Caenorhabditis elegans: one gene and its partner. The protein of the gene in region 1 interacts with the protein of each later gene in a pairwise test. Each region holds a gene or a part of one and is shown on either strand. Other genes may lie near its edges. The genes, in order: F09C8.2 and R11F4.2.

Region 1 (11,698 bases):
TGACGGCTCATTGTCTCCGGAAGTAACTTGGCCATACGGTTCCATAGGTGAAGATTGACTAGTAGGAAGCTTTATAACTACGTATGCTTTATAACTACGAAGCTCTATAACTACGTATGTTTTTGGAAAGGTAATGAAAAAGGTCACCTAGGTCAGTTAACCGGATTGAGGGCCGGAAGCCCGAATACACAAAAGTATTGGACAGCCGTTAAACCTATACTGAGCCCAAAAACTCGAATTGAGGGCCGCAGGCCCGAATACACGAAGAAGTGTTGGAGATCCGTCAAGCCTATTTTAAACAAAAAAATTTGACAAGTGAAAATTTTTATTTCTAAAATTAATATTAAACTAAATTTGGCCGGTCTTGACAAACTTCAGCACATTTACTTAGCATTTACTCAACACTTGACTAAACTTTAATAAAGCGAATTATTCTTGAGTTACTCTACGCCGAACCAAACTGCGAAGCCTAGCAAATCTCCGATTTGCTAGTCTTGATTTCCGGTATTGAAATATCTAACTTGGTTTTAGAAAAGAGTTTTATTGAAAATAGATTGATATAAATACGTAAACTAGCACTATTTATGAAAAAGATTTGCTCAATTTTTTTTAATTCCAAAATTTTTTATGTGAACCTATCTAAATATGAGAATGAAGTACTAGTGCGTAGTTGCTAAGTGGAAATCAGGCTTGATTTTTATTTCAAAATTTTTAGATTATTTAACAAACAATATTGGTTAGGTATTAACAAAACAAATTAAAAATGGAGTGTAGGTACTGTAAATCAAGTAAATTTTTTGCAAAATATTATAGTTCTCTAACGGAAAATACTCTATACCTGAGACATTTTTCATGCATTGATCATAGAAAATTAAACATAACCTCGCTAATCTTCACAGAGTCTTCCAGAGTTCTAATAATAATGCTCAAAACATCTCGAAAACATGCTGAAAAATAAACCAAAAAAAATGTGCACACATTAGCAGTAAACTAAAAATGTCTTGTCTAAAATGGGAATTTGCGTCATGCGTTTGCATCATGTTTTCTTTCAAATTATCTGTTAACTCATACATAGCTAACACTATTTTTGGAACACGAAGATGAAAGTTTAAGAACCAGAAGCTTGTGATGGAAACATTTCAAATTCATGAGGAAGTGAGAAGTGGCTCACAAACTAGAAAATATGAAGCCTTTGAAGAGCTTCGTTTTATCTTCTTCTTTTTTTTTCAACTTACATTTTTCTATTTATTTCTCTATTTGTCCAGAAGGGGACTGAAAAGTATTCGAATATAAACACTGTGCCAAGATAATTTTGGCTGACATCGTAGCTTACAGATTCATTTTTGAAAAAAGTTTGTAAAATACAGGTCCAGAGAGTTTTGACAGGTGAAGAAACACAGGCAGCAGGGGTGCGAGGCAATCCAAAATTTCCGGCAATCTACAATTTCGGCACTTGCCGGTTTTGGGAAATTTCGGCAATCGGTAATTTCGGCAATATTCAAATTTGCCAAAATTGCCATTTGCCAGACATTTTCGGCAATTTTCAAACCCTATATTTCGGAAATTGAAAATGTTTCACTTTGTTTTTTTAGTATTCGGCTAGTCATTTTCTAAAACAAAACCGTCAATTCTTCAATGAGCTTAAAAAGAGAAAATGTTTCATTAAACTCATATTTTTCAAAATTTTAGCACTTTGCCAAAACTTTGACCGGAAATTATGAAAAATATGAAATGTTTTGGAGTGTTTTATTAATAATATAGGTCGCTTTGGATCATTATAAGTCTATTTCTAAAAAATTCTCACTGGCTATTTGTCGGGTGAAATTAAATGCTAAATGAAGAAAAAAAATCGTCGGTAGTAAGTATCTGAAAATAAAAAAGTAGGAGAAAAACAAGCATTCATTTTGAAATTTTTATTCGTTTTGAACGTTATATTACTGTTGTCATGCAATTTGCATTTGAATAAATTCCAATAAACGGTGCATTGAGTTTAGAAATTTTCCAAACAATGCAAGGGGGAAGGCCGAATATTTTGAAAATATTGACCAAATCGAAAGCCCATGAAAACAATAAAAGAAAATGTGCTGGGAAATGTTGGGACATTCAAAGTGCGAACAATTTCAACACTTGACATTTCAAGAGGGGAAATTCGAACATACTATAAAATAGTGTTAAATGTTTGTGGGGGACAAAGGAGAGATTTTGACTGATCGCAAAAATTGAATAATTTTTGATTTTTCAATAGTCAAAATTCACTCAACAAAAAATTCTTCGGGGGAAAACAACAATTCTTGGGGCTATTAACATTTTTTTTTCTTCGGGTGGAGTTTTTATGATTATGTTTTGCTTTTTTTGAGTTTTACATGGTGTGAAGGGGGCACAAAAGTGTGAGCTTACAGCAATTACAAAAGACAAAAGAAAAAAAAAGAGAAATGAGTAAAAATGATGATTTGAAATTAGAATAGAAAAAAAAAGAGAAAATGTGGTATGGGTGGGTGGGAGAAAAAGAAGATCTAGAGGGTACTGTCCTGGGTACTATCAGGTTGCAACTACGCTCTAATCGGCACTAAAGCGTTGGAACAATTGAAAAAAAATTATTAGAGTGAAGTTTCGAACCTGAGTTATCAGAACGGTAACGGCATGGAGAGCGTTCGGTTGAGGGGGCAACAAATTTTAAATCCGAGACGTCTTTCTTTTTTTTTTTGAAATGTGAGCTTTTTTTTTTGAAAATGATATTTTGTAAATGAGAAATTATTTGTTGGACTCAATCCCATTGGATTGTGTTTTTCTTGGCGGCTTTTGCAGCGGCAAGCTGCTTTCGTTCCTCTTGTCGCTTTTCCGTAGATACGGTGGCTTTCTTGCCAAGTGCATTTTCAACCATCCGGCGGGCGACTGTCGCAGTGGTTTGCTGCTTTTTTCTAAAAAAAAACGTTGTTTTATTATAGCATAACATGAGCAAACTGTTAATAAACTTCAGATCGTAAAATATTGACAACGCATACGTGGTATCAGGCTGTCCCATTACGGGTTGATCTACAAAAAATGCGGGAATTTTTTGGTCAAAAAAGTGCGACGTCAGCACGTTCTTAACCATACAAAATCAGTTGAAAACTCTGCGTCTCTTTTCCCGCATTTTTTGTAGATCTACGTAGATCAAAGAGAAATGGGACACTCTGACACCATGCGCGCGCAATGAAAAGCTGTCACAAAATTAGAGACTTTAAAAATTAGATACCAAAGTGAGACACAAAATTTGAGATTACTGAACCACGCACAAAACGCCTACAAGCCACGCAGGAGCCTGCCAGCCGCTGCAAACCAAGGGCTCCTGCGTAGTTTGTAGGTGCGTGGTTCAGTTTAGGAAGAGAGATTATTGCTCTACATTTTTGATTCCGAGTTTATGTCAACTTTCCATTTACTATAGTCCTTCAAAACCTTCAAAACTAACTTTAGAATTCCCAAACTAGCTGCATTGGTTTTCGCAGAATCCTGCACAACCTTCGGCGAATCCGCCAGACTCCGGAATCGCAGCCAGTCATGTTTCGACAAAGTCAGACAATTTTTGGCTCGGTTCACACTTTCAAAGACGGCAAACACCACTTTTCGCTCCATCCACATCACCTTGCAATCGCCGTTTCCAATTGTTTCCATTGCCTTCACAACGTCTTCCTGCATTTTGTAGTCCGGGACTCCATAGATTTCCAGCACATGCTGGAGAAACGCTGTATCCCAATCCGAGTTTCGTTGCGGCGGTGGTGGAGCTTTTGACATTGATTGCGCTTTTTTCTCTTCTTTTTTCTTATCCTTCAGAAGGTTTTCCATGCGAACTGTCAAATCATCATCGTCGGCAGTTTCCCAGTCGTCTAGGACACTCATTGTGAGAGGCTCGCTAGACTTTGCCTTTTCCAAACTTTCCGGGTCGTTGCAAAACAGGTTTCTTGCCACAGGCTTTTTGGGCGCGCTGAGTACTGCCGCGCGATCAATGATCTCCTTTTTGTTGGAGAAAAGATTGGAGATGACGTCTAGCGCAAGCTTTTGGCTTTCCGATTCAAGTTCTTGATCTGATAGTCTGGGAGCCTTGATTGGAGCAGCTGGGACTTTTGCAGGTTGGGAAGGCTTCTTCGTTGACGTCAAAAGTTCTGGTACAGAAACTGGAACTGATACAGTCACAGGTGGTATTTGCGGTGGTGCCGGAAGTGGTTGGAATGTGTCGAGGAGCAGCGGAAGAATGTCCCTATCACTATCGTAATCTGAAACATGAGATGATAAAACTGGACGTGAGCTTTAAAAACACTTACCGTATCTAGTATTCAGACTAATTGGTGGATAGAAACCTTCAGGTGCTTGTGGCTGTTGCTGCTGATGTTGTTGTGGTGGTGGTGGCTGATATTCTACAAAATTTCCTTCGTAACGCTGGTTCTCTTGGAAACGCGTCAAGTGCGGAGGTTGCTGTGGGAACGCCGGGAAGGCAGATAATCCGATGGCTCGTTGCGGCGGGTTGTGGACGACTTCGCTGAGCTTCTTTTGGAGCAACGCGTCCGAGTTTGGTGTGAGCACTGAAAAAGTGTGTTTTTGTAAATCAGCTGATTCGGCCAATCTTATTTTTTGTAAGTTCAGAAATAATGATTCCTAAATTAAATTTTAATGATTCCTAAATTAAATTTTAATCATTTTGGGGTGCAGATACACAAGTATTTTTAGGAATACAATGACAGCACGAAACAAAATAAAAACTTACGAGGAGTAAATCCAGCAGGATCCTGACCCGTCGTTTGCAAAAACAGTGGTGATGTCTTGGAAATGGGAGATGTGATGTCCGATGTTGTCGGCTGTTGCTGCTCCGGTTTCAGATTCTGAGCGGCAGCCGTGAACTTTTGCGCGTACGCAGGACGGGATGCCGGCGGCGTCGGGGCTTTCGTACTTCGATGGGAGAACGTTGTAGTTGGCTGAAAATCGATACATTAGATTCGGGAAATGTATAAAATTAAAGAGGGAAAGGCAAATGACATAGTCGGTAAAGAGAAAAGGTATTATTCCTTTTTATATTAATGTAAGGTTTCAAAAATTGCAGTACGCTTTGAAAATATATATTGTTGAAAATACACAGTGAAAAGTTCCTAGCCAAGCAGCCCGGAAATGGAAAATCCCTTTTTTATTCCGATCGGGAAAGCACAATCGTCCGTGCAAAGTGGGAAAAGTGGCAACAAAGAGCAATGGCATTTTTTCTACGAGCTATCAATTTTCACTTGATTCAATAATTCAGTTTTTGTTAAGTTGCCATCACATTAGAGTTGAAAAAAATGACTAAAAAACCACGAAAGCATGTGAGTGAGAGTGTGTCACCAGGCATGAGGAATGAGGGCAGGAAAAGAAAAAAAGACTTAAATTGATATAGAGCCATGCACACGCGTTGTTCCTTGATTCAAAAAATGTATAAAAATCGATAACGTTGGCAAAAGTGTGTGTGTGTGTGTGTGTCTATGCGAGTGTGTTGGTAAGGGAGGGTGCCCCTCGTCTCTTCACCCGCACACACATACACACACACACACACACCCGACTAGAGGTCATCTATTGTTTTGTTGAAGATGGCTGCTACCTACCCTCGAATCACTGTCGTCGTTGTATTCCGTGTCGTCGGTGGTGCCGGTGTGGAGGAAGATGTCAATGTCATCAGAGAGCTGATACCTCGGAGTCGGCTTGTGATTGTTGATTAGCTCCACCTGGAAATATGTGCGGTTTTGGAGTTGTACAGTTGCAGACACAGACAGAAAATAGACTCTTCTAATAATAGTTTCTTATCAGCGCAATCCTACAATGTGAAAATAAATAGTGGAAATAAAATTCTAACTTCACTGGTAGCTTGATAATTTAAATCACTTCACAAAAAAGCCATGTAACCGACCGGTAAATTGACTACTGAGTCGAGCCCAGTCTTGATCTACGGAACACGTCTATCAACGCGCGGTGTCAGGCTCTCGATCACATTTTGATTAGGGTTCCCAGCTGAGTGAGGCGCAAAATGCGGGCCTAACGCCGACGCCGAGCGCCGCTGTGTGTTGTAACTAAGTTTGAAATGTGGTTATTTGGAAGCGGCAGACACATTCGGGGTTTCGCTACTTGGCGTGAAATGAGTAACATGGTGTGTGTGCAGCGAAGTGCAAAGTGTGGCTATTTGGAAGCGGCCGACGCGATCGGGGTTCCGCGCCACATGCGGCGTGGGTGACGTCGTGAGGCCGGCACGGCGACCGCCGAGGCCGGCGGAGGCGCCGTTGCGGCGACCTCGCGGGAGCCCTAGTTTTGATTTACAATAAATACTGGAATTTTTTCCAAAGTTGAGCGTAGCACGTTCTTAACCGTGAAGCCTCATTTGAAAAGTGTGCGTCTAGACCCTTCTAAATTCTTGAAATTATCAAAGATCAAACCGAAATTGGACAATTCGACACGATTCGTATCTACTAATTTGAATAATTTTGATGTTGGTATACTATCAGCCTATGCGTCGTTAAAAAAACAGTTGCATGCATCACCTAGGTAAAATATTTGGCAAAACGATCCCTTCAAACTAGTCCACACATTTCTTAAAACTAAAACAAAACTGCGCTATTCCTGTTGTTGTTTTTGTTGTCATTGCACACGGTGTCTCTTGGCACGATGGGTTCTTTTTTTTTCGTCTCGAACCTTTCTCTTGTTTACCAGGGGTCCTAGGACAGTGGTGGTACACATGGAGAATAACTAAACTAAACTGCTAAAGAAGCACGCGGCGCGGGACGACAAAAGGGACACTGACGCACTCTCACCACAACAACTGAAAAAAAAATCGTTTTGGCCTATGTCTCGGCACTCTACTTCTTCTTCCCTTTTCAAATGACAACAACACAATATTAGTTGGTGCGAGGAGGAGAGAGGAGGATGCTGAGCTATGCTGCTGGGTAAACAAACGCAGCGCTGATTCTTGGCTTGATGCCAAGCCCCGGCAGATCACGTCACTTCTCATTTCAGCTGTTTTTCGATAGCTCGACATTTCCTCACACCGCCATAATAATAATAATAATGCAATGAATGATCAACCACCAATAATAATTTCGAAATAAAAAAAATAGCTGGAAAAAAAATGCAAACCTCCAAATCCTCCGCCTCTGCAGTATTCGTTGACGTAGTCGGTGCAAACGAATGAATCGAGAACGTCGGTGACATTGGCTCATATCTCTCGGGCTCTCCGAAAGACTCTTCATCGTCACCATCGTTACCATGTTGGTAGTTTTGTGGATCATCTGGCAGAATCGTAGAATTTTGCGGGCAATACCCAGACTCGTTGTATCCAGAAGGTTCATAGCTGGACGTTGAAGGGTAGCAAACTTCAGAAGAAAGATAATCTGGAAGTTGTAAATTAATGAGTGTAAAATTTTTGCCTAGAAACTGCTGATGGTAAAATCGAGAAAATAAGTATAATTTTGAGCAACAAATTTTTTATCAAAAGCTGATACAGTGGAAAATTCCAACTTTGACATCATATGGAACTTTCTAGTCCAACTCGTCATTTTATTTTCTTAACTATAATATTTTAAAGTTTAATTTTAAATGGTTATTAATACTCACCAGTTTGTGGCTGCTGTTGCAAGTGCATAGCATGCTGCTGCTTCATGGATTGATGCTGCTGTTGCTGCTGCTGCTGCTGATGAAGAGCATGGAACGTTGCTGTCGGTGGAAGTGGCGACATGTTCAACGCCTGATACAGTTCCTCGTCGGAAAACGAGACTCTTGGTTGTGGCGGTGGCGCGAGGTTCGCAGCTTGCATCATAAACATTTGGTTCTGATAGGCAAGTGCTCGTGTATTGTCCATCGCATCTGGCGGACTGCGCTGTTGGTCGACGACGTTGTGCTCCGGCGCCGCCGGGTAGTTGTTGTAGTTCGGCGGTTGATACCAGCCAGACCCGTAAAGCATTGGGTTAGATAACCCGGTGGCACCACTATCCGTGTGGTAGTACTGTGATTGACCCGTAGTATGTGTCCATTCTTCGTTCACTCTAAAAAAAAACAAAGACCTATAGTAAGTCAAGTAAGTCTAAACTCCTATACTGAAAACTTTTTGACTTATCACTTCTGGAAAAGTTGAAAATTTATCATTTAAAAAAATCGATAATTTTCGTGTTTCATTATTAACTTGCTCCTATTGAACTAATCAGTTTGTTTTTTCTTCTAAAATTTTTACAGCTCAACTCAAGACTGTTCAAAAATTAAAAAAAAACAAAAGAAAACAACTCACCCTTGGAGAACCTGTGGCTGCTGAACTTGCTGAACCAAGTTTGAGTTGTAACCGTAGCCGGTCATCATGTTGCTCCCAACGAACGGATGCAGTGGTTTTGTTGTTTCCAACGGTCAATCTAACCACCAGAGTTTAGAGGAGTCGGACGACTACCTGAAATATCATACAATGTTTATATAGTTGCAGCAAATGAGTAACAACGAACGATTGATGAAATATAATCATTGCTGCGAGAAACTGAGGAAGATATTTTTTGTGAAAGTAAATAAAAATTCATGTTTAAACTGTTCTCTAAACTAGTGAACGGATAGTTTCAAAATAGATAGTTTCAAAGTGAACAAAACAAAACATGGAAACAAAACATATGTTCTATCCCACCAAAAACGTACGAACAGGTACTGGTTTGGTTAGTTAGTTAGTTAGTAAGTGAGGGGAGGTCCTGGCTTGCTTGGGGGGCGCGCAAAGCAAATTACATTTGAAAGGTGTTTATATAAGAATTACATGTATCTACCAACTATTTCGCAATACTGTTGTTGCTGTACACGATGGAACAGGGCATAGAATGAGAGAAAAAACTACCCGAGATAGAGGGCAATCGAAAGAGATAGGCACGAAAAAAAAACAAACGAGGGGCGTGGTGACTGAGGAGCAAGAAAAAAAAAGAATGAAGGTGGGTTTGCTCATTTCACTAACTCTGTGTGTGTGTGTGTGTGATAAAAACCACTGAGAGCAGCAGCACCTGACGGACGAATTGAAAAATCTAATATCACTTCCGACGAATGCGTACTTGGCGCCAAAGCGCGCGCGCGCATCGAAGGTCATTAGCTCGCCACCCATAGCAACAAGATGTCGAATCGTTTCGAGGGCGGAGATACAGAGGACAGCTGGGCGAGGCAGGCGTAGACAGGCAGGCAAAAATTGTGTGTGTGTATGTGTGCGGGAGGGCGGCGGAGGACAAGCGGCACGAGCGGTCGAACGAACGAGCGGATGGTGTGGGAAGATGGGGGGAAGAGGAAAGCGAGGAGAGAGAGAGAGAGACATAGAGACAGAGAGAGATTTAGATTCGGTGAGGGCCCCTCTCTCTCTCACTGGGCTATGATGATGCAAGATGACCCATTCAAATGTTGCGCGTACTGGGAAACGAGGAGAGCGCAGAGAAATTAGAGTATGGACAATGAGTGACGAGGAGGACAAGGAAGTGCATGTGTTTTGGAGATGAAATTTGTTTTTAGGAAATTTGAGAACTGGTTGGTGTACACATTGAATTGCAGATGAGTTTTTGCGGTGTTTCAAGCTTGGTGCGGAGCATTATTCATGTGAAAGCAATTAAGGAATGAAGTACTGAAGCCAAAGAAGTTTGATACCTAGTTTCCTAGTTTCCTTTCCGAGCTTCTCAAAAATCACTGTATAAAGTTCAACATCTTTACCACTGTCGCAATACCACGGTAACACAAGACTCTGAAAACCTAAAATGATATCTCAAAAACCAGCACAAATCATGCAATGCATATATAAAAAACGGCATGAAAATGTTCTATATGTTTTCGCTAGAATTCCAGTACACATTTTTTATTTTGTGTACCTTCAAAGCTAGCTCCGTGGAGCGCGTTTGAACTCATTTAAAAGATAAACAGTGTTAAAATTGTCGAAAATCTAAAGTTGAGAAGACTGCTTAAACTCCAACAGAAAAATTAATTCACATTAAAGACGAGAGAAATCGAAGCAATTTGAATGCTATAAAATTAGACAACCTAAAATTGAAAATTACTTGTATAGCAAAACATCACAATGAACTAGTGTTCTCATTATGAACTCGTTTGTAAATTGACAAAAAATTAGATATGAGCCAATAAATTCTGACCTAGTTCACGTGGGTTTACTTTTGAAAATTTATTAAATGCGTTTCAAATGCTTTCAGGGAACACAAATTTGCAACAAAAATAGGCCCAAACTTTTCCAAATAGTGTCTGAAATATGCTCCAAAAGTCGCACATATTATTACGATCAAAAACCCATGTCATTCTCAATTCCATTTCCTATTCAATTTCCTTCTCTCCGTTCCAAAGGACATACAAAGTTCTATAGTACTTGCCACATAATGCCATCACCCTTTTTTTCCAGCTCTCCGCATGACTAATAAGGTCTAAAAGTGCGTTGGTCCTTCCTTTCACACTAATAGTTCCAAAGATTCTCTTGAGAAGAAAACAGCTCAGAAATAAAACGGGGAAGATTGAACGTGGGGGGATAAAAGAACGAAAAAATAAAAAAAACAATTCCAGAGTAGTAGTTCAGAACGAGCAGAGTGACGTTGTACTCGATTCTATTTTCTCCCAGTTTCTAGTTTCCGGTCTCGGCAAAAAAAAAAGTGCAAAGCATTAAGCTCGCAGGGCAGATGCGTGGGTCGATTTGGTCAAGAAATTGTATAAATGCATGGAATCATTGCAGGTAGGGGGAAATAAGAGGGTGTTGAGAAATGAGTCTATGTTGTTTTATTGTGCAGACCTGGCAGGAATATAGATTGGAAGTTCGATTTTTAAATTTTGATTTTAAATTTTGTGAGATTGTTTTATACGGAAAAACTTCATGGATGCAAAATAGCAACTGGAGAATTTGGTAGCTTACTGAACCGCAGTATACATCGAAAAATGGAGCTACCGTATTTCCTCTATTAGTATTGCACCCGACTACTCAACTTTGAAACGTTATATCTCGGTTCGTTTTAAAGATATCAATTTCTTATAAATTGCAAAATGATAGAAAAAGAACTGACAAATATTTTGCCAGTTGACAGTTTTTGAATAGAACAATCGATAACTGAGATATTAGCGGTCAAACATGAACAAATGGGTGCAATAGTAATAGAGGAAATACGATATTTATCTACTAAAGTTAGTGTTTTAAGTGATATTAATTAAAGAGCACCTGATATTTAAGAGAACTGAACTAAATCAAAATCGAAAAATAAGTTGGCTTAAAATTCATTTTTAGCTCGGCTTCAACTTGAGAGCTCAATTGACCGACAGCTCAACAGTCTGGTTTTGTTGAACTTCAAATTGTGATAACATTTAAAAATCATTAATCGAGATTGCAATCTATGTTAATTCCATAATTCCCTACATTTATGTGTCTAACACTGTCTGATCTTGGACAAAAAACATTTTGTTGGAAAAACATCATAGACGAAAAAGTTCCTTGAGCTGGAAAATCCGGCGCAGAAGAACTATAACTACAACAAAGTATTACAAAGTAGCCGCCATCTTCTTTTTCAGTTTTTCACAAATTTTTGTGTTCGAAAAAAGTCATAGGGCACAAAGGCAAGCGGACGAAAAAAACAAGGGGGAGACAAGCGCAAGTCGGTAGAGGAAAGAACGAAGAGGAGGGCAAGGTGGTGTAGGAAGAAGTGATGGCGGGGGGGGGGGGGGGGGGGGTTGACAG
Region 2 (9,209 bases), on another chromosome or scaffold:
AAACCTCAAACATTTTCTATATTCCTTGCCGATCCATAAATCCTTGTTTTATTTTTCTTGCAACTTTCAAAATTCTTCAAATTTTTACAACTTTTTCTTTCATTTTTCCAAAACTCCAAACCCGGTTGCTCGGCTACTAAAAGTAAGAAACTTTTTCTTGAGAGCCAAAAAGTTCTGCTTTTTTTCCCACAAACGTTAATATTCGTGATATCGTGAGAAATGGTGGTTTGGGGGTTGCGGCTTCGTTACAAAACGTATTCTCGATCCTAGCCAGATGACGTTTTGATATTCTTTTAGAGCATTTTCTGGAGCTTCACGGTAAATTTTTTATTGCGAAATTTCAGAATGTTCCGGAACTAAAGAAATGTGTATACCCTGAAAGATAGAAAATTTTCCATCTAACAGTTATTCCTTTAACCCCTCGTCACTTTCTCGAAATATTCTACCCTATGAAGACAAACACCATATGTCATAAACAAATGTCTGGCCAACTCTGTCATCAATAATTCACCTATTTTTGGCCATAAAATTGGTGAATTTAGTTGTTTAATCTCGCGTTTTGAGGTGGACAGCTCAAAAGTACTTGTTGTTTCAAAACTAGTGCAATTTTTAAAATTGGCTGGAACAGGCACACGCACCACACACGCACCGCACGGTAAATTTTTAAAAATTATCGATTTTATTAATTGGAAGACCGAGACCTTGAATACTTTTCCTGTAAATTTGAATTGAAATAAGGTCTATTTTTATATCTAATTTCATGGATTATTTCTCTCCTCTTTTTCTATTTGAAAATAGAAGACAGGACAATAGAGAAGCCAATGTGCACTTCTTTTTTTGGGGTCAGGTCTAAATTTTGTTATGTCTAGACCCCCCACTCCCGAAAAAGCCAAAAAGAAAACGGGAAAATTGATAATTTGTGACACAAAGAGCTATTTTACGGGGCGGAGAGGTCATCCTACTTCCCTTGACGGGAGAGTTATGCACACATTTTACAAGGAAGTTAGATGAAGAAGTGCGAGAGGAGTACACTGATGGATTCCCTTGATTCTCACTAATAATTTACATATTAAGTTTGAGGAAGATGACGGTGACCCCTGATTTGATGTCATTTCATCAGACACATAGCTCAATTCTGCGTTGCCAAAGGTCAGACAGGAACGAAAATACTTGCCTGACCAATGCCTACCTACGTCTAAATCACAAATTACCACTTTTCACGTCTTAATTGGCTTTAAGTAAAAAAGTAAATTTTGGCTGTAGGCAGGCGCGTAGGCTTGTAGTCAACCTATTGTCAATTCAAGTTTCTTACTTCCAGTTCCTTCAAACTTGAAAACAATCTTTAATTTTGTTGTTCCTTTTTATTTTTCAATTTCCTGTTCAGTTTTCTTATTTTCCTGTGTTTTTCAATTTTTCATTTTTCCAAATTAAAAATAAGATCATGTTCAAAAACCTTTCTGATTTTGAATGTAAACTTTTACTTCTCAAAACTTCCTTATTCCTTTTCGGAAAGTAGGTAGGTAGGTATGTAAAAACAAAGCGATAGATAGACTGGGTAGGTAGGCACAAAGGTAGGCAGGTATAAAAGTAGGCATAGATTTTGGTAGGCAAGTACATAGGCAGTTATCTAGGTAGGCAGTAGTGTAGGTAAGCATGGTTTTCGGTAGGTAGGTACGTAGGCTGACTGATATAAAGGTGGGCAATGGTGCAACTTAGCAGGGATGTAGGCAAAAATGTAGGTAGGCAGAGCTGAAAATAGGAAAAATCACGTTAGAATTCAAAAAATAAGCGGTAGGCAGGCACGTAGGCAGGTACCTAGAAAGTAATTCATTTCAAAGATCATAGATATTTAAACTACATTTACGATCTAAAACATCTGTGAAAATCCACGTGTTGCGTAGAGCCTGAAAAGGAAAAGGTTTTCAGCCGTTTGTAGATCACTGGCACTGATCACCCGCCAATTTTGACGTCCCCCCCCCCCCCCTGCCACGTCACCTCCTCTCTACTTTTTCGACGTGTGTGTGCTCGGCGAGCTCTCGCCTTTCATCTTCATCTGATTCAATTCCTCCATTCTATTCTGCAAAGGAGAAGATGCCTCGGCGGCGGAGCCAACCCCAACTCATCCGTGAGCTCCGCCCCAAAAAAAGAGCAGGCAGTGCTCTCCAACACACATGAATATATGAAACATTTCATCTCATTTCGAATTCTTTGGATCTGCTCTTTCTTCTGTTGTTGTGTCTGTGTGTGTATGTGTATGTCATTGTTGGGTCCTTGTATGTCTTCAAATTCCGAACAAATTTTTGTTTGAAAACCCGCAATTTCCCTGTCTGGCGGTGTGCTATTTATTCACTCAGTGTTTTTTGTTCGAATTTCCAGCCAATTTTCAATTTCAAAAGCGCCAAATTTTCGGGAAAACCTGAAAATAATTACCTTGCAAATATCCCCACACCCCCACCGACACCCACCCACTTTATTTTGAAAAACATGTTCTGAGATTTTTTGAAAAGTTGAGAAAAACACGACAATTTTCATTTCCAACTTCCTTGCTCTTTGCTACGAGGTGTTTGATTTTTTCTCAAAATGCTTACGATGAGGCTTTGGCTTAGGCTTAGACTTAGGTTTAGACTGAGGCTTAAACTTAGGCTGAGACTGAGGTTTAGGCTTAGGCTTAGGCTGAGGCTTGGATTTAAGTTTGGGCTTAGGCTTATGCTTAGGCTCAGGCTCAGGCTTAGGCTTAGACTTAGACTTAGTCTTAGGCTTAGGCTTAGGCTTAAGCTTAGGCATAGGCTTAGGCTTAGACATAGGCGTAGACTTAAGCTTAGGCTTAGGCTTTGGCTTAGGTTTAGGCTAGGCTTATGCTCACAGGGTTTAGCCTGCAGGGACTTTAAAAACGAATATTAATAAACCTACATTGAAGTTTTCAAAAAGGAGCAAAACAATTCTGTTGCCGAATTGCCGAGTGTTCCGGCTTTTTGGATAGTAATATTCTATGCGTCATCCGGTTTCCCCCAGATTTCTGAGCTTTTCATTCTATTCTTTTAAGAGCGGTTTTTCTCTCACGCCATCACCCAACAAAAAGAGCACCCACTCATCTATTGCAACTTTTCTTCCCCGATTTTGTTCCATTTTCTTACTTTTTTTGCTACGAAAAGCTCAACCCGGGTGGTCCTTTTTGACCTACCTACCAATTTCAAAGGAAATCAAATTGATGTTTGATTCTAGGAAAAGAGATGTCTCTATCTATCTCTTATCCTTTTTTCTCATTTTTTTCTCTATGCAAATTTTAATGGAAACTACTTAGGATGTGGACGGACCTAAAATTGATTAGAATTGGCTTCACTGGGTGCATAACCCCTCAATTTTGAGCTGTAAAAAAGTTATTTTGAAAGAAAAAAATGTTATAATTTTTTTGATCGGTGTTTTACAAATGAAATTGCAGCTTTTTGCAAAAAATAAAAATTTAAAATTTATTCTTTTCAAGTAGATATACCGATGTTTTAAATATGAAAAACAAGGGAAGACGCAGACAGCGAGAGCGTCTGTATCTCTGACCTCTGCCCTCTCCCTCTCCCTTTCTCTTACTCCCTCATTTTCAAATTAACGAAACTCATAGTCAGCGAATATTTGAGCAAGTTGAAAATTTCCAACTGCAAAACTGTTAAAAATTCGATTTTCTATCTATCTTGTAATTAATCTCATCTCTATTGACAGCCCTTAACTCAAAAATTCAAGTTTTCAGCAAAATGAACATCACAGAAACAGCAGCAATGAGCGAGGCGTGTATGGTGGAGAGCCTGGATCGACGATGGTACCTGGTAGCAGTTTGTGGAACATCATTATCGGTTTTATCAATTGTTTCAAATATGTTGATATCAAAAGTGAGTGTTTTTCATAGTTTTGATTTTAATTGGAAAATGCTTAATTCAGCTTAATTTGACGAAAATTTTTGTCTTTTAAAATTGATTTTATTTTCGAAAAACTTAAAATTTTGCTTTTCCACTAAAAAAAGTGTGGTCTTTTAAAAATAATTTCATTCAAGATTTGTCGGAAAAAAGACATAAGAAAACGTATTAGAAATATTCAAAAATTCTTTTAAAAAAAGTTGAAAAATTGAGAGAGTTTAAAACAACTTTGAGAGTTATAAACAAAATTGCCAAAAACCCATGTTCTTCACACGAAATTTCAAATGTTTTGGGTAAATCGTATGGCGACCAATGAACGATGAGGTAGGGGAGGGGCCAGCGCCTGTGATTGGTCCAATTGTTAGCCTGACCAATCAGCAAGGCGATCGGGTCTGCAATAAGAAAACATCTTTTTAATTTCCAGGTCCTACTATCCTCGAAGCACACGCACTTCTACTTCCTAGCCCTACTCGCCTTATCCGACTGCTTCTTATCTCTAAACTACGGTCCCGTGATAGCAATGGACATAATCAAAGATCGTGTGAAACTGCGTTGGCTCTCAAATCTTTATATTCAATACGTGGGACCCTTACTTGCTCTCTCACAAACCTCAATGACTTTCTCATGCTACCTGATCATCCTGGCGACCATCGAGCGATATCTGATCACACTACGCGCAAAATGCCTCGGCACATTTCGACAATGCCGGGGACTCTCTGCACTTTGTATGTTCATTTTGGCTCTGTTGCTCAGGGCGCCCATCATTTTCGAAATGCAAATAGAACAGAATCCCGATTGTATTGGCGAGATTAGCGAGTACTATTTGAACTTGTCGCCGATTGTGAACACGTTTTGGTATGGAACTGTGTACCGGTTTTATGTCAGGTAGGTGCAGGGATTTGTTGAAAAATTGGAGAAATTACAGAGAGAAATGAACTGAAAATTTTTGAAATTAAAAAAAAATTGTTTGTCCGATATTTTTGAATCTAAAATTTATTTTAAACTAAAATTATCAACAAAAAATAGAAAAAAAAATATAATTTCAATTTTTTAATTGCATATTTGACCTAATTTTGAATAATTAGACTTAAAAAAGTACTTGAAATTTCAAAAGGAATTTATCGAAATTTCAGAAAATGGAAAACTCTGGAACATTTTTTTTATAACAAAGTATTGTTTTTAACCAAAAGTTTTTCAAAACTAGGTCGCCTACCTACTTGCCTGCCTACCGCCTATTTTTCTGTACTTTTGGCAATAGGCATGAGTGTAGGCACAAGGCAGATGTATAAACCATGAAATCAGACCTACAACTTGCTGAAAATAAAAAAATTTAAAGTTTTCCGTATCCTTTTTCTGCTCAATTTTGTCTCTATTCAAGCATCAAAAAAGTTATATTAAAACAATTATTTAAAAAAATAAAATACCAAGCCAAAAAAATCTTTCAGAAACATCATGACAGTCCTGGTACCCTTCGTTCTGCTGGCCATTCTTAATTACAAAGTCGTGAAAATTCTTCGAATGCAGCAGAGATCGGCGCAAATGTTCCGTTTTCTATCAAGTGATCATAAGACGAAAATCCGATCGGCAACAATTTTGATGGTATGTATCGTTTTCTCGTATCTTCTCGCGAATATTCTAAACGTCGGTGTCACACTGTGGGAGTACGTGGCATTTCAATCAACACAAACCGGAGACGCTTATGCGGTATGTTGAAAAGTTGCAAACAGCAAACTACAAACTACAATTCCCAATTTCAGTTCTACGAAACTTGCACCGATGTGACGTCAGTACTCTACATTCTGGTGTGTGCCACGCGTCTTTTTGTATATTATTTGTTCAATCAGGTAGGTTTTTTTTTTTTTAATTTTATCTGAAAAATTCTTTAAAAAATGCCTGATTTCTTGGATTCCCGCCAAAATTTTCTGATTTTTTTCCGAGTTTTAGAAATTCCAATTTCATAAATTTCACAGCAAAAATTATGCATCTAAACTTCTCTCAGAACCTTTTCCAATTCTCATAAAATTTAACAAAAAAACCAAAGATTCCAGGAAATCCGCGAAGCCATCAAACCTCTCGTCTGCCACAGCACGAGTGCTCCTCGCAAGCAGGACTATGTTACAGTAACCCGAAGCTTGTAAGTTTGTCTAAATCAATTTTTCGTAAGCAGAAATCTGAAACCTATCCATCACCCTGTCACTGAGTCCCGTTCTCTCTTTCAGACAATCCATGCCGTTGGCGGTAGTGGGCGCCCTAACATTCCTCGGTCCAAGACAGACCGGCATCGTGAGAAATCAGCAAAAGTAGGGGAAAATTAAAGTAGTTGAACTTCTGCTATCTATTTCGCATGTCTACTGTATCTCAAACTTCTATCTCCCAGACTCTCTTTGCTCTCCTCCTAATAACTTTCCGTCACAAGCTTACTTCTAGGCGCACACACTTTTACCAATCCAGTAAGATGTCGGCCGCAGCCCATTGACTGCAGCCGGCACTTCATGGGCCAGGCTGGCGTATGCAGGACCGGGTTGGCACGTGAGGTGTCCGCAGCAGATTGCAGCCGACATTTCACAGGCCAGCAAAGCTAGCGTTCGCCTAGCTAGCCAAGCTTACGAGGTGTCGGCTGCCGTCTCGTTTCCGCGGCCGACACTTTACGAGCCACCAGCTATCATCCTACCATTTTATCTTCCAGTTAACATATACTTCTTTCAGCGACTCCTCCCGCCAAATCGGAACCGAAATCGATGCTGTAGCAATTGCCATTGCTCGAAGGCTGCTCTCGAGTGAGCTCGTCTTCGGAGGTGGAGGCACCAAAGAGGCCAACGACTCATACGTCATCTCAAACCACCACGCGACCACATCTGGAGACGAGGAAACCGACGACGACGACGACGATGAAGAGATTCCATATATGGTTTGAGAAGAAGCGGCTCCATATATTTGCACATTCTCCTCACCCACCTCATTATTTTTTTCCTTTCTGGATTGTATACTTTACTTTTTCTTCTCCTCTCTCATCATACATATGACCAATATCACGGGGTAAAATAGCGAAAATAAATTGGTATGTTTATTCTGAATGGGGTTTTGCACAAAAACTATCAGATTCACATCTCATTAAAAACCGGATGCTCTTTCATGTCTTACTTGGTGAAAACTTCGGGAGACAGACACTGGGGGTTTCTTCAAAACCTGCTAAAATTAAAATTGAAGTTTTGATCTAGAAAAATTTGATCTACAAGTAAGGGGGGACCCTAATTTCAGCAAGCTTACTGCATTAGATTTTTCAAATTGAACAAGCCCGGTAGATGTCGGCCGCTGGAAAAATTAAAATTTTGTAAGACAGGAGCGCTTTCTTGTCAGTTCGGAGTGACCATCTGAGCTTTTTTCGAATTAACCAAAGCAGCTGATATATTGAAGATTTTAGTTCAAGCAGCCGAAACTTTAAAGGTGTGTACTATTCTCTGCAACCGACGTTTCACAAGCACTTCTTTCAACAAGCAACATTTTACAGGTACTGTGCTTAGCGGCCGAGGTTTCACAGGTAATTATCAAAACAGCTAAAATTGTAAGGCGCATGCGTCTCCATGCGTCTCTCCATTTACAGGCCCAATTTCGAGCAGCCGACATTTTACAGGCACTACTTTTACCAGCCGACATTTAACAGGACTTCAAATTTTTTTCTATTCAAATTTTGCATTTCAAATTTTCAAACTTCAAATTTTGCATTTTTCATCGATTTCAGGTGGTTTCAGAGCCTTACTTAAAACAAAAGTTCAACATTTTATTATGTTTAATAGTTTCACTGATTTCCACTAAAGCTCCCACAAAACTCCTTCTAACCAGGACTTTTCCACGTGTATTTTGCTGTTTTTGTTCATTGTTCACCGCTCGATTTCACGTGTGGACGGGCACAGTTCACGTGAAATGATGTCCCATTCTACCGTACTCTTTGTGATAATGGCTTATCATTTGTAGAAGCGGAATGTGAAGAAGACTGATGAATGATAGATTGAAACTTTCAAAAATCAAATTCGTAGGTTTTATGAATTTTTTTTGGGTTTTTTTTGTTCGACAAGAAAAAGGCAGACATTTTTTTGCAGAAAAAAGGGTGTAAAGTCTGAAAAAAAAGCGATCGATTCAAAAAGTGTTCAAAAATCATACAAAAATTGCTTTCGCTGCGGGATCCATTTTCGTTTAAAGACCCTTTTTGATAGGATCAATCCTTGATTTGACGTCTGTTCAATGATAACTTTGTGAATCCGAGGTCAGACCGATTCTCGCTTCGGGACCCTTTCTGATTCAAACGAATATCTCAAGATGTTCAAAAGATTTTCTTTATTTTCCTAAACATTTTGTGTTTTTCACAAGTCACGTCATTTCATTGACGTGGCTCCCCTCGAAGTTCAAATGCTCAACAAGAATCTTTTCTCAAAATCTTCCTCCAACAGCTGTACTCGAAGGGCCCCGTATCATTTATCACTTCCCCCCCCCCCCCCTTAACTCTCTTTCCCCTGTCTCGTATTCTTCAAAGATGATAAAGACAAAAAGTGAATCGTTCGATAAAGATAGAGAGTATTGAACACTTTCAAAAGTGTCATTAGTGACAATTGTTATTGCTTTACTCCAGTAGAATAACCTGTTGGAATCGGGAAAAATGCAAAGTTTTCAGGTACTTTTTAGACGAAAAAGTGCTGAGATTTGAGATGGGAAACAACAATTGGAAATAGGAGAAAATAGAGAAGATCAATTTTCAGCTACCAAAATATAAATGGTTTTTAAATTTTAAAGCAATTTCAACCAGGGGTGGGCGGCAAACGATTTTCATCGACAAATCGATAAATCAAAAAATTTTCGGAAATGGAAATTCCCGACAAATCGGAAAACCGGCAATTTGCTAATCGCTGAATTTGCCGGAAAACCGCAATTACCGAAAATTTACGGCAAATAACTTTTTTTTTTGGAAACTTCAGAATTTCAATTTTAATCGGCAAAATTCTATCCTAACGTTCCTAAATCTATTTTTAAAAATATTTAGAAAAAAAATGGGAAAAATTTCAAAAAGGCAGAGATTTAAAAATTTCCGTCTTTTAAAAAATCTTGCGGCCAATTGATGTTCGGCAAGCGGCAAATCGGCAAGCTGCCGAAAAACAACATTACCGGCAAATCGGCAATCCGGCAAACTTCACGGCAAACGTCTTGATTTCAACAACCTATAACTCAAAAACAAGACACTTTACAGGCAACCTTACAACTAATAAAATGTTGCCCAAAACGTATTCTTACTTTTTGTAATTGACAATTGTCCATTGT

What was found.
Region 2: the proteins of F09C8.2 (region 1) and R11F4.2 interact in a two-hybrid assay, tested with the Caenorhabditis elegans proteins (one large-scale study listed by BioGRID).

What each region holds. Positions count from the first base shown.
Region 1 is NC_003284.9:16,138,607-16,150,304, forward strand, and holds F09C8.2 (C3H1-type domain-containing protein), read right to left. Parts: upstream 8,417-11,698; 5' UTR 8,329-8,416; coding exon 8,264-8,328; intron 8,025-8,263; coding exon 7,597-8,024; intron 7,374-7,596; coding exon 7,120-7,373; intron 5,721-7,119; coding exon 5,601-5,720; intron 4,947-5,600; coding exon 4,739-4,946; intron 4,557-4,738; coding exon 4,299-4,556; intron 4,251-4,298; coding exon 3,449-4,250; intron 2,919-3,448; coding exon 2,765-2,918; 3' UTR 1,901-2,764; downstream 1-1,900.
Region 2 is NC_003280.10:4,079,326-4,088,534, forward strand, and holds R11F4.2 (G-protein coupled receptors family 1 profile domain-containing protein), read left to right. Parts: upstream 1-3,728; 5' UTR 3,729-3,767; coding exon 3,768-3,878; intron 3,879-4,326; coding exon 4,327-4,787; intron 4,788-5,347; coding exon 5,348-5,606; intron 5,607-5,659; coding exon 5,660-5,746; intron 5,747-5,950; coding exon 5,951-6,036; coding exon of another isoform or gene 6,037-6,040; exon of another isoform or gene 6,041-6,063; intron 6,064-6,608; coding exon 6,609-6,816; 3' UTR 6,817-6,972; downstream 6,973-9,209.